Linked DNA regions of Arabidopsis thaliana. The protein of the gene in region 2 interacts with the protein of the main gene of each other region in a biochemical or structural test. Each region holds a gene or a part of one and is shown on either strand. Other genes may lie near its edges.

What was found.
Region 1: the proteins of MGP (region 2) and SCL3 form a complex in vitro, tested with the Arabidopsis thaliana proteins (one study listed by BioGRID).

Annotation. Positions count from the first base shown.
Region 1 is NC_003070.9:18,677,066-18,682,179, forward strand, and holds SCL3 (scarecrow-like 3), read right to left. Parts: upstream 3,236-5,114; 5' UTR 2,939-3,235; intron 2,698-2,938; 5' UTR 2,561-2,697; coding exon 1,112-2,560; 3' UTR 629-1,111; downstream 1-628. Other genes in the region: AT1G50410 (SNF2 domain-containing protein / helicase domain-containing protein / zinc finger protein-like protein), read left to right, coding at 1-112, 196-300; DWF5 (Ergosterol biosynthesis ERG4/ERG24 family), read right to left, coding at 5,110-5,114. UniProt on the Arabidopsis thaliana protein: Probable transcription factor involved in plant development.
Region 2 is NC_003070.9:966,921-972,366, reverse strand, and holds MGP (C2H2 and C2HC zinc fingers superfamily protein), read left to right. Parts: upstream 1-2,032; 5' UTR 2,033-2,308; coding exon 2,309-2,459; intron 2,460-2,655; coding exon 2,656-3,052; intron 3,053-3,798; coding exon 3,799-4,771; 3' UTR 4,772-4,897; downstream 4,898-5,446. UniProt on the Arabidopsis thaliana protein: Transcription factor that regulates tissue boundaries and asymmetric cell division. Contributes to the sequestration of 'SHORT-ROOT' to the nucleus. Interacts with the SCR and MGP promoters.

The DNA.
Region 1 (5,114 bases), about 18 Mb from region 2:
TACTGAAGATCAGGCTATTGATCGAGCACATCGTATTGGACAAACTCGACCTGTTACTGTAACTCGTATTACGATAAAAAATACTGTGGAGGATAGAATTTTGGCTCTCCAGGTAAAGATCCCTTATAGCTGATACTTGTTTCCCCCCTCAGTTTCTCTCATTTGTGGTTGTGTGATTTTTGGTTATTATTATAGGAAGAGAAAAGAAAAATGGTTGCGTCTGCCTTTGGTGAAGATCATGGTGGAAGCTCTGCAACTCGATTAACAGTTGATGATCTCAAATATCTATTCATGGTGTAGCTGTTCTTAAATCTTGGGTTGGCGAAGTTTCGCTTCTTTCAGAATTTTGATCATGAGCTGCATTCTTGTGTTCTTCAGGTTCACAGATTTGAAATGAGGAAATATGTAAATAACTTAGCTGTTGTCTCATAGTATATATAACATCAGAGTATATACTTTTTCTGAATCAGTTCATCCGAGATCTTCTTTCCTTTTGGGATCACATTACTCTTTCAATCTTATTATCAAGGTGTTTTGATCATGCAACACTTTTGCATGAGAAACACTCTGTGAATTTGCTAAGACAAGATAAAGACTAGATTGCTTAAACAAAATTCAAATATAAATGAAGCAAGAAGATTAGGTTAAACTAGATTCAATGTAAATGAAGCACGTGAACTTTAGGTTACAAAGTATTTGGACAGCAGATAAGTCGTATACTCTTTGGATAGTGAACATGTCCTTTAGTAACCTAAATATATATACCGAGTTTAAGTTATTTACAATACACAAATGACAAGATCACCTGCTTAAAGATAGGCAAAGTTTGGCTGGTCTCTGAAAGAATTTGGAGTTCTGAACTTGAACCGATCATCAAATTAGTTATCTTCAGCTCAAATTGGATTTGGTTTGGTATTACACCCACACCAGACCAAATTGAACCAACACACAAAGGCTTTACATGCAGAGGCAGTAGAAGCATTTAAGCCAAAATAGCATAAAGAGACAGAAAGTCACCATCACAAAACAACTAAGATTGTGTCCCCATGTATACAAAAAAGAAAGGGACTCTGCTCATAACCAAAATAGAAGACAAACTGTAATATATCATTCACTTCCTGCATCTCCAAGCTGATACCGAGTATAGAGGTCGATCTTGCCAGCAAATTACTGCGCACCCGCTCTCTTCCTTGATTCTATACCCATCAAAACCGCACCCTTGAAGCAATCTCCTAGCCTGCAACATCGCATAATAGCTAAGAGGAACATTCCCAAAACCAGCCAAATCGATCCTCTGGCTCCATTTCTCAAGCTTCTCGTGTCTTTCTCTTCTCTCAAATCCCTCGCAGGATATGATGTTCTTGATCTCCTCCCCGAAGAGCATCTTCTCCACTTTGATCCTATCTTGAGACGTTCTTGGAACTTTTGTTTCCAAGCAATCAAACAATGCTGCGTAGGTGTAAAGTGATTCTAATAGCCTCTCCATTAGTGTGGAGCCGTTGTGGTCTGAGTCTTGCTCAGTGACCACCATGACCTTTGGAGACAAACCCCAAATAGCATTGAGGAAGCTATCAGTCCTTCCTGAACTTGGTAAAGGCAAAGATGAGGCCGAGTCACCGCTAGGGCTATACCCATTGTTGTTACTCATATCATTCTCACGTGCCTCAGCTGCAGAGCCATGGCTCATCATTAGAACTCTCTGCAAGTCAACTCCACTAGGGTTGTTCTGAAACCGTAAAGCGCAGTTCTTTCTCATGAGATCATCATCAGAGGCCAAGAAGGTATGCAATTGAAGAACCGAGCTAACGGCTAAGGCCTCTCCTGTTTTAACCCGCAACTGTTCTACATTTAAACAGTCTAACCTACTCACAACGGGATTAAACTGAAACGGGATATCGAGTTTCTCTGCTTCCTCAATGAGTCTATGAGCCATTTGTTCAAGCACTTCCTTCTGGTGATGAACACCAGTGATTCTCAAATGAGGTGGACCTTCAGGCCTAGAGTTAAAAGCTTGAAGCAAAGCAAGCCATTGAGCTGGCTCAGAAGCATCGAGATCAATCACATGAACCATCTTCTCTCCTTCCATAGCCTCGAGTATAGCTCGATTAGTGAGCAAGTAAGAGACTTTGAGTATCGGGAACATCTCAAAGAAGAGTCTTCTAACATGAATCTCCTCAGAGACATTGTTAGTTCTTGTCTGAGTTGCGTTAAGAGCCTTGTAAAGACCAGGCCAGGACTTAAGGATTCTGTTAGCAAGCGCTTCGGTGAAGTAAGCAGCGATTCGCTGCATCGTGTCGCCGTCAGGAGAAGCGAGGTGAGAGAGCTGCTCGAGCGCTGCGTTAGCGTTTTGGAGGCTACCTGAAGCCACGTGGTTGGCACAAGTTAGCAAGAGGTGGATTAAGTAGAGACCACGCTCCTCTGGTTTGAGATCTTTGAGACAATGAAACGGAGATGAAGAAGCGAGGAGAGTCGGTCTGTTGAGTGACATAGTTGAGAAGACTTGAAGTGGTGATGAAGCTACAGAAGATGTTCCATTATCTTCTTGAAACATAGCCACCATTGAAGGCCAAAAGCTTGATTTTGATTTACTCAGAACCAAAAGTAACCTTTTTTGTAAAGAAAGATTTAAACTTTGAGAGACTCGTAACGAGAAGAACCAAACCCACGATTCGGAATTTCTTGAAAGATGCAGAGAATCTGCAGTTTAACAAAAAAGGGGGTTAAAGAACAGAGGAACTAGGGTTTGCAGAGAAAGTACTGAATTTTAAAAACCTTTGAATCTAGTTAAACTATTTGAAATAGATATAGACGAAGAAACACAAACAGAGAGCTGAATTAAAACTTTCCTAATTTGATAAACTAAGAAAGAAACAAAACAAAATAATAGCAAATGATCAAAGAAGATAACAAACAACAATAACCAAAGAAAAAAACTTACATGGATTTAGAGAAAATGTCTAAAGCTTTTTTTTTGGGAGTGAGAGGGTTCTCTCAATCTTTATCTCTCTATCCACGTCTCTGGTGGTTATCTTGTGAGTAATAGCGTGTGTGTGAAATGTTGTTTGTGTTTTGGGAAAAAACTTTAAGAAAGAAAACACTAAAACAGAGGCATTGTTCCTTTTGGCTCTACGTACCAGACAATGCGTGATAGTCGGTTTTGTCTTCTTCCTTTTTGTTTTTTTCGTTTCCTCTTTCTTCTTTCCTTGGTTTTAAGGAATTATTAAACAAAAGGTTGTCAAATTTTCCAATCCCATCCATCTATCTTATACTATTATGTGTACTAGTACTACATGAATGAATATCATATAAGAATACGTATTTTGATTTTGAGTGCTCTTAAAGTGGTGTAACATTAATAAATAAAACTGAATGAGAGTGTATTAGCTTATGTTGCATTTATAAATAAAACTGAATAAGAATACATCCATCAATCTTATACTATTATGTGTATTAGCTAATGTTGCATTTTCATTTTCTTTTAAATTTGTAAGACTTGTAGGAATTAGTCTTATTGATTATTTTTATAGTTATTATTTTATATAAAGTCAAGATAAGAGAAGTTTCACCTAGAATTTTCTTGATTTAGAGGAACTAAGAAGAAAAAGCAACACTTAATTATGAAGGAAGAAGAAGTTCAATGAACCCATTTGGCATTATACAAATTGGAATTATCTTATAATAGATACATACACGAATACAACATATATGTCTGTATTCGAGATTGGAACCTCCACTTTTATGGGTTTTTGTCATGGCATGAGGTGGATTTGGAATCATGACTATATATTTCTACATCAAAAAAATTGTTAAAGAGAAAAAAAGAAAGCTGTTTTGGTAAAATATTGATTCTGAGAAGAAGGAAACGTCCAAACACGCCCTAACAAAGACAAAACAAAACCCAAAAACCATCTCTTTTGTTTTTGTTGTTTTGTTAGAAAAACAAATAACAATAAAAGAGATGAGGCTGAGGCTTGGGTGTGGGATTTGTCTGTCTTCTTTAAATGTTCATTGTCTTTTCATTACTTTTCTCTTTGTCTTTTTCTTCTTTTTAATGCCTACATTTTTGTCTTCTTCTCTTCTTTCTCTCTCTCTTTGTTTTTTACTGTGTGAGAGAGAACATTATTCAGTTTTTAAACTAAAAAGACCATTGACCAGAGAGATTCTACAGAAAAAGAATGATGCTATTTTACTACTATTGTACCTCAACTTTTTTTTCATCTTATCAATAGTAAAATAGTACTATAAAGTGAGAAAAATATGCATCCATAACAACACAGTAAAATTGTTTTAGTATGAAATTTGTTTAGCTTTGACTACAAATTAGAGAATGGTAAGTTTTTGTTATTAAAAACTTTGTAGTTAGATCTCATGATATCCAAACATAGAATCACAATTTTGCTGAAGGAGCTTGGTACGAAGACCGCCTCAGAAGTAAATGATGGTTCTGTTTTAGCAACTTTGGATGCTGCTACTCGGGTTGAGCTTCTGAGCTCCCCTTCTTATGTCTTTTTGTTTGAGCATTTGTCCTCGTAGCTTTTTGTGTATACTCTCCACGTGGAGGCAACTCTCGTTTAAAGTTGAATGAAATGTTAGTTTGACCAAAGAAAATAAAAAATAAAGAATCACAATTTTGTGAAAACTGTGTAATAGTAGTTTTGTGGATCCTCCAGAACACCAATTAAGTCTAAAAGTGAAGTCAACTTGATAATGTCGGTGAGTTCTTTGTGATTGAAAAACTGAAAGAACACTATCAATTCTTTGTGATTATTCATGTATTTTATAGGGTTCAAGTTCAATTAGTGCCTGTACTTATAAAAGACTTCATTTGATGTAGTTAAAATATTAGATGGATGAATCAACTTATTTGATGCATTAAGAAGCAGTATAATCAAAATATCAAATAATAAAATTAGAAAACGGCAGGCTAACTTTGATAATCTAGGGAAATACATAAGTGTAGCTAGAGATTTGAAAACCTATAGCATACAAATCAGCAAAAGAATGTCTATCGCATCAATTTGCATTTTTGTTTTGGCACGGTCTTTTGATGATTCCAACGTTCGAATTAACGTAATAAGTAGAAAATGAGAACAACAGACTTCGTTACAATCAAT
Region 2 (5,446 bases):
GCTAAATTAAAAATAATTCATATGTATTTAAACTCATGAACTATGTTTAAATATATAAACGACGACCATGGAAACATATGTAAATGTAGACAAAGAATTATTCTTGACTAAATTTGAACTTTTTTATTTGTGTTGATGCGTTATATCTCCACTATCATCATTGTTCACAAATTTTTTTTGAACTATACTCAATTTACAATTATATTGTACAGATTCAAATCAGCATTTCTTTAGAAACTTGAAACATAGGATTTACTATTCGAACTTTATTTAAATATGAGCGGGATAGACCAAATTCAAATAGATAATTATCGTGTAAATTCATTTGTACGTAGGAGCTCTACATAACAAAAAAATTGACATATTTTTGTTTTTGGATACACTCATATGAACGCATCTCTTTATACTTTACAGTAACAAAAAAAAATCCCAGTTTCCCATTTGTGTAAATGCCCATCTGTATATAAATCTTGATTATATAAAGGGAACAATAATATACTATAACAACGTCTCGAAAAATAAGGGAATATTCTTGTGCCGCCAAAGTTCAAGAAGAAAAATCCAAAACTAAAACACTAAACTAATGTTATTATTTTATAGGAATCTTAAAACATGATTACATTATGATTAAAGTGTAAATTACCTAAAGAATTGGTAATTAAGTCAGCCCACAAGCTGACGACTTCTCTTCCTTCCAAAAATTCACCTGCATTTTGTCAGTTCTCTGTCTCTTCGTACTTTCGATTAATTAACTAACCATAATTATCTTACTTTCAGCTAGGGGTAAATAAAAAAGCACATTTAGTTTACTTTTCTTTGAAAATCGATATGATCGAGATTTTGATATGGTCGAATTGTTTACCGTTTTTTTTCATCTACAATATTATTTTATATATAGGATTTTATCCAAATTATAACACGATAATAATAATAGACTAGTTTATACAACTCCGATACATATGCTCAGTCTTAGGATAATAAACTACAAAATAAATTTTCAATTAAAATTTTGGTATGAGTTTATAATAGTTATGATCTCCGAGAGAAAATTTACTAGCTTGCACATATATAGTAGGTTAGAATTACTTTTTTGGTTCAATCTTTTTTTTTTTAATGGGATTTCGAGTTCTGATCTTTTTTAAAAATAAGTTAAGATTCTATTTTTTTTTAAAAAAATACGTTAGAAAATACTTTCATTTGTAGGGCGAGAAAAAGTTTGCTAAAGAAAAAGACGAATAGGGAGCATTGCAAAAAGATCTTTGTAAGAAAAAGCATGAACAAGATACTCGTACGTATCTACTAACTTCTCTTATACTCAATTCCACAAACATGAATTTTTTCACAATTATTAATATCGAAATTAGCAATTTTTTTGTTTTTGTCAAAGGAAAATTAACAATTTTTTGAAGGAAAATCGAATATCAAAACGAAAATTTGAAGTGGGGTACTTGACGGGAAGAGTTCGCATGGTTTTCGTTTTCACTGTCGACCGGACGATTATTCTCTTTTGCATATTTAGGTTTTTAATTTCGTTGTCGTATGTTGTTGGATTTTACCTCACGAGCACGTGCATGGGTACACGTGCATTGCAGGCTTTGTTCTCAACAATAAACGAGAGATGTGACCTGCGCCGTTGGATCTGTTTACTTCTTTGACCGCCTCAATTTACGGTCAAATTAAAATCTCAAATTATATACACCATGACTGTGCTTTATATACGACTTTCTACTAAAAATAACATTAAGAGAAACTATAAGGAGAAGAACAATTAAAGAAGTTAATTTTACCTGAGGATGATGAAAAAAAGAACGGAGAAAAGAAATAATGAGATCATCATTCCAAATAGAAAAAGGCAGACATAGAAACTTTTGTGTGTGTCATGACGCACTGCCACTGAAAAACCAAATAATCAAATATTTCCAGATAAATATAGTTAATTTCCACCGCCATTAACTTTTAACTGCGAAATATAAATAAAATGGGAAAAATATATGAAAGTTTAATAATTTATGACAATAGCTGCGACAGTTCTTACAGATCAAGGTGCTTATATTTTTTTGTTTGAAAGAAAGAGGAATATTATTTTTTAGTACACATATGGGGCTTAAGTGTGTAGGGTGTATATATAAAGTGATCACCCAATATAACTTATCTTTTGTGTTTGCCTCTCATTCATAACTACATCAGATTCTAAGTATTTCTATTTATTTTCTCTTCATTACCTTTGCTCATCCTCCATCTCTTATTTAAAACTTAATTAATTACCTTTTCAATCTCTTCCAACAAAACTTTTGTCCAAGAAGAAGACATGACAACTGAAGATCAGACAATTTCAAGTAGTGGAGGATATGTCCAAAGCTCATCAACAACTGATCATGTTGATCATCATCATCATGATCAACATGAATCCCTCAATCCTCCTCTTGTCAAGAAGAAGAGAAACCTCCCTGGAAATCCTGGTAACAATTAATTAAGTTTAATAGAGATCACAAAATAATTCAACCCTAATCAACATTTTTTTTTCTGTTTGCTGAAAAGTCATGTTCTTTTTTTTTTCGATCTTGATCTACAAACATGCATGCTTTCTACTGTTTAGATCTTTCACATGATCAAATATGTATCCAGAATTTGATTGTTATATTTCGTTCTCTATAGATCCAGAAGCTGAGGTCATAGCTCTATCTCCAAAGACACTTATGGCCACAAATCGTTTCCTCTGCGAGATATGTGGAAAAGGGTTTCAAAGAGACCAGAATCTACAGCTTCACCGTCGAGGACACAACCTCCCATGGAAGCTAAAGCAGAGGACGAGCAAAGAAGTAAGGAAACGAGTGTATGTATGTCCAGAAAAGAGTTGCGTCCACCACCATCCGACGAGGGCACTTGGTGATCTTACCGGCATTAAGAAACATTTTTGTCGGAAACATGGCGAGAAAAAGTGGAAGTGTGAGAAATGCGCCAAGAGATATGCAGTCCAATCTGACTGGAAGGCTCATTCCAAGACTTGTGGGACTAGAGAATATAGATGCGACTGTGGTACAATTTTCTCCAGGTACTTAGTGTATATCTACACACGTACGTACTAATAGATGATCTTTACATTTCCTCATCACGGTATCATATATTTTTAGTGGCGTAACAAATATTTTGATCACCTAGCTGTAAGCGCATATCATGTTTAATTGCATTATATATAGATTCAAATATGATTTTAACTTCTTAACCAGTAAAGTTAATCATGTTTGAATATATTAGAATATAGGAAGAATATATATATACTTATATACATATCTTAAAACTCATACTAAACCTAGCTAGAGCTTATATTTTACCGGGTGAATACTATGATGAAAAACAAAAAAAAAACGAATCTGTTACCTCAACTAACACTACTGTACCACTGGACCACACAAACAAATTTCGTTTTACCACGTTGTTTGTAAGTAAATAAGATTTTTTTTTTTTTTTTTGTGAAACAATTTGTAAGTAAATAAGATACATGTTTTTTGTTGGAAGTAGTAGCTCATGTAGGGTCTAAAACAAAATAATTTGGAGTTACTTTTGTATAGATATTGCCATATTGGTCATTCTCTGAGCATACGTGCTGCTTGATTTCTTGAATAAGACAGTTTCTTGGATTGACATATTTTGGTTAAAGTAAGATATACAACTTTATTTATCTTTTTTTCCTTAATTGCTATCTATATTACTATATACATACATATTAAACACAAGCATAAATTAGCGAGTGTGTATAGACGATATTGATCTTATTGGTGTGTATAATTTGGTCAACAGGAGAGACAGCTTCATTACACATAGAGCGTTCTGTGACGCTTTAGCAGAAGAAACCGCTAGGCTAAACGCAGCCTCGCATCTCAAAAGCTTTGCCGCAACCGCTGGTAGTAATCTAAACTATCATTATCTCATGGGGACACTTATCCCATCACCATCACTACCACAACCACCGTCGTTTCCGTTCGGACCACCGCAACCGCAACATCATCACCACCACCAATTCCCAATCACAACCAACAACTTCGATCATCAAGACGTCATGAAACCAGCGTCTACGCTCTCTTTATGGTCGGGAGGAAATATTAATCATCATCAGCAAGTGACCATCGAGGACCGTATGGCGCCGCAGCCGCATTCACCGCAAGAGGATTACAATTGGGTTTTCGGAAACGCGAATAATCACGGCGAGTTAATAACGACGAGCGATTCACTCATTACTCATGACAATAATATTAATATCGTCCAGAGTAAGGAAAACGCTAACGGGGCAACTTCTCTTTCCGTGCCTTCTCTTTTTAGCAGCGTTGACCAAATTACCCAAGACGCAAACGCTGCTTCTGTGGCTGTTGCAAATATGTCGGCGACTGCGTTACTCCAAAAAGCTGCTCAGATGGGAGCGACTTCTTCTACGTCACCAACGACGACGATTACTACCGACCAATCAGCGTATCTTCAGAGTTTTGCATCGAAGAGTAATCAGATTGTAGAAGATGGTGGCAGCGACAGGTTCTTTGCTTCGTTTGGATCGAACAGTGTCGAGTTAATGAGTAATAATAATAACGGTCTTCACGAGATCGGGAACCCTAGAAACGGCGTTACGGTCGTTTCGGGGATGGGTGAATTACAGAATTACCCTTGGAAGCGTAGAAGAGTTGATATTGGGAATGCGGGAGGAGGAGGGCAAACTCGGGATTTTCTTGGGGTTGGTGTACAAACAATATGCCATTCTTCCTCTATCAATGGATGGATTTGAAACACTCTTTAATGGATTTTTCTACCTTATTTATGAGTGAACTTAATTATCAAAGCTGATTTCTTTAATTAATTTTAAAAATGATTTATTTCACCAGACCAAAATCATAAATTAATTTTACGATCGATTGTGGTTATTAGATTTATCGTATCTTCTCAAATTCAAAATGATCACCTACGTCTCAAAATTTACTCTTCCATCAGATTTTTGCTAAATTTAGGTCAACTAGTCTATACTTGTAGTACTCTTCTTATTTTATTTTTTCAATTTATAGACTACACTAGACACAAGTATAATGTAGTGTGATTCACATATTGGTATTATTATATGAGCATTTTCGTTGAAGAATTTTTTTTTTTTTTTCGTTGAAGAAAAGTTAAGATTCATTCATATTCACTATGTGTAGAAAGGTGTTTGATATGCTTTTTTAAAAATAAATAAGTACTTAATCAATTGTATGTATTTTGTATATATGCCATAGAAAAAGTGTGGATCGAGAAGTGGTGGGCACACAAGAAAAACATGAAGGCTTTTGAGCTCAATAATTCTAAACTTAACTTGCAGGGCAATTCATAGTGGAGGAAAACATTAAGAAATGAAAAATGAAGAGAGATAGAAAAATAAAAGAGAAAAGATTTTCTTTAAAGAATAGCTAATAATAATTCTCACCAAAAT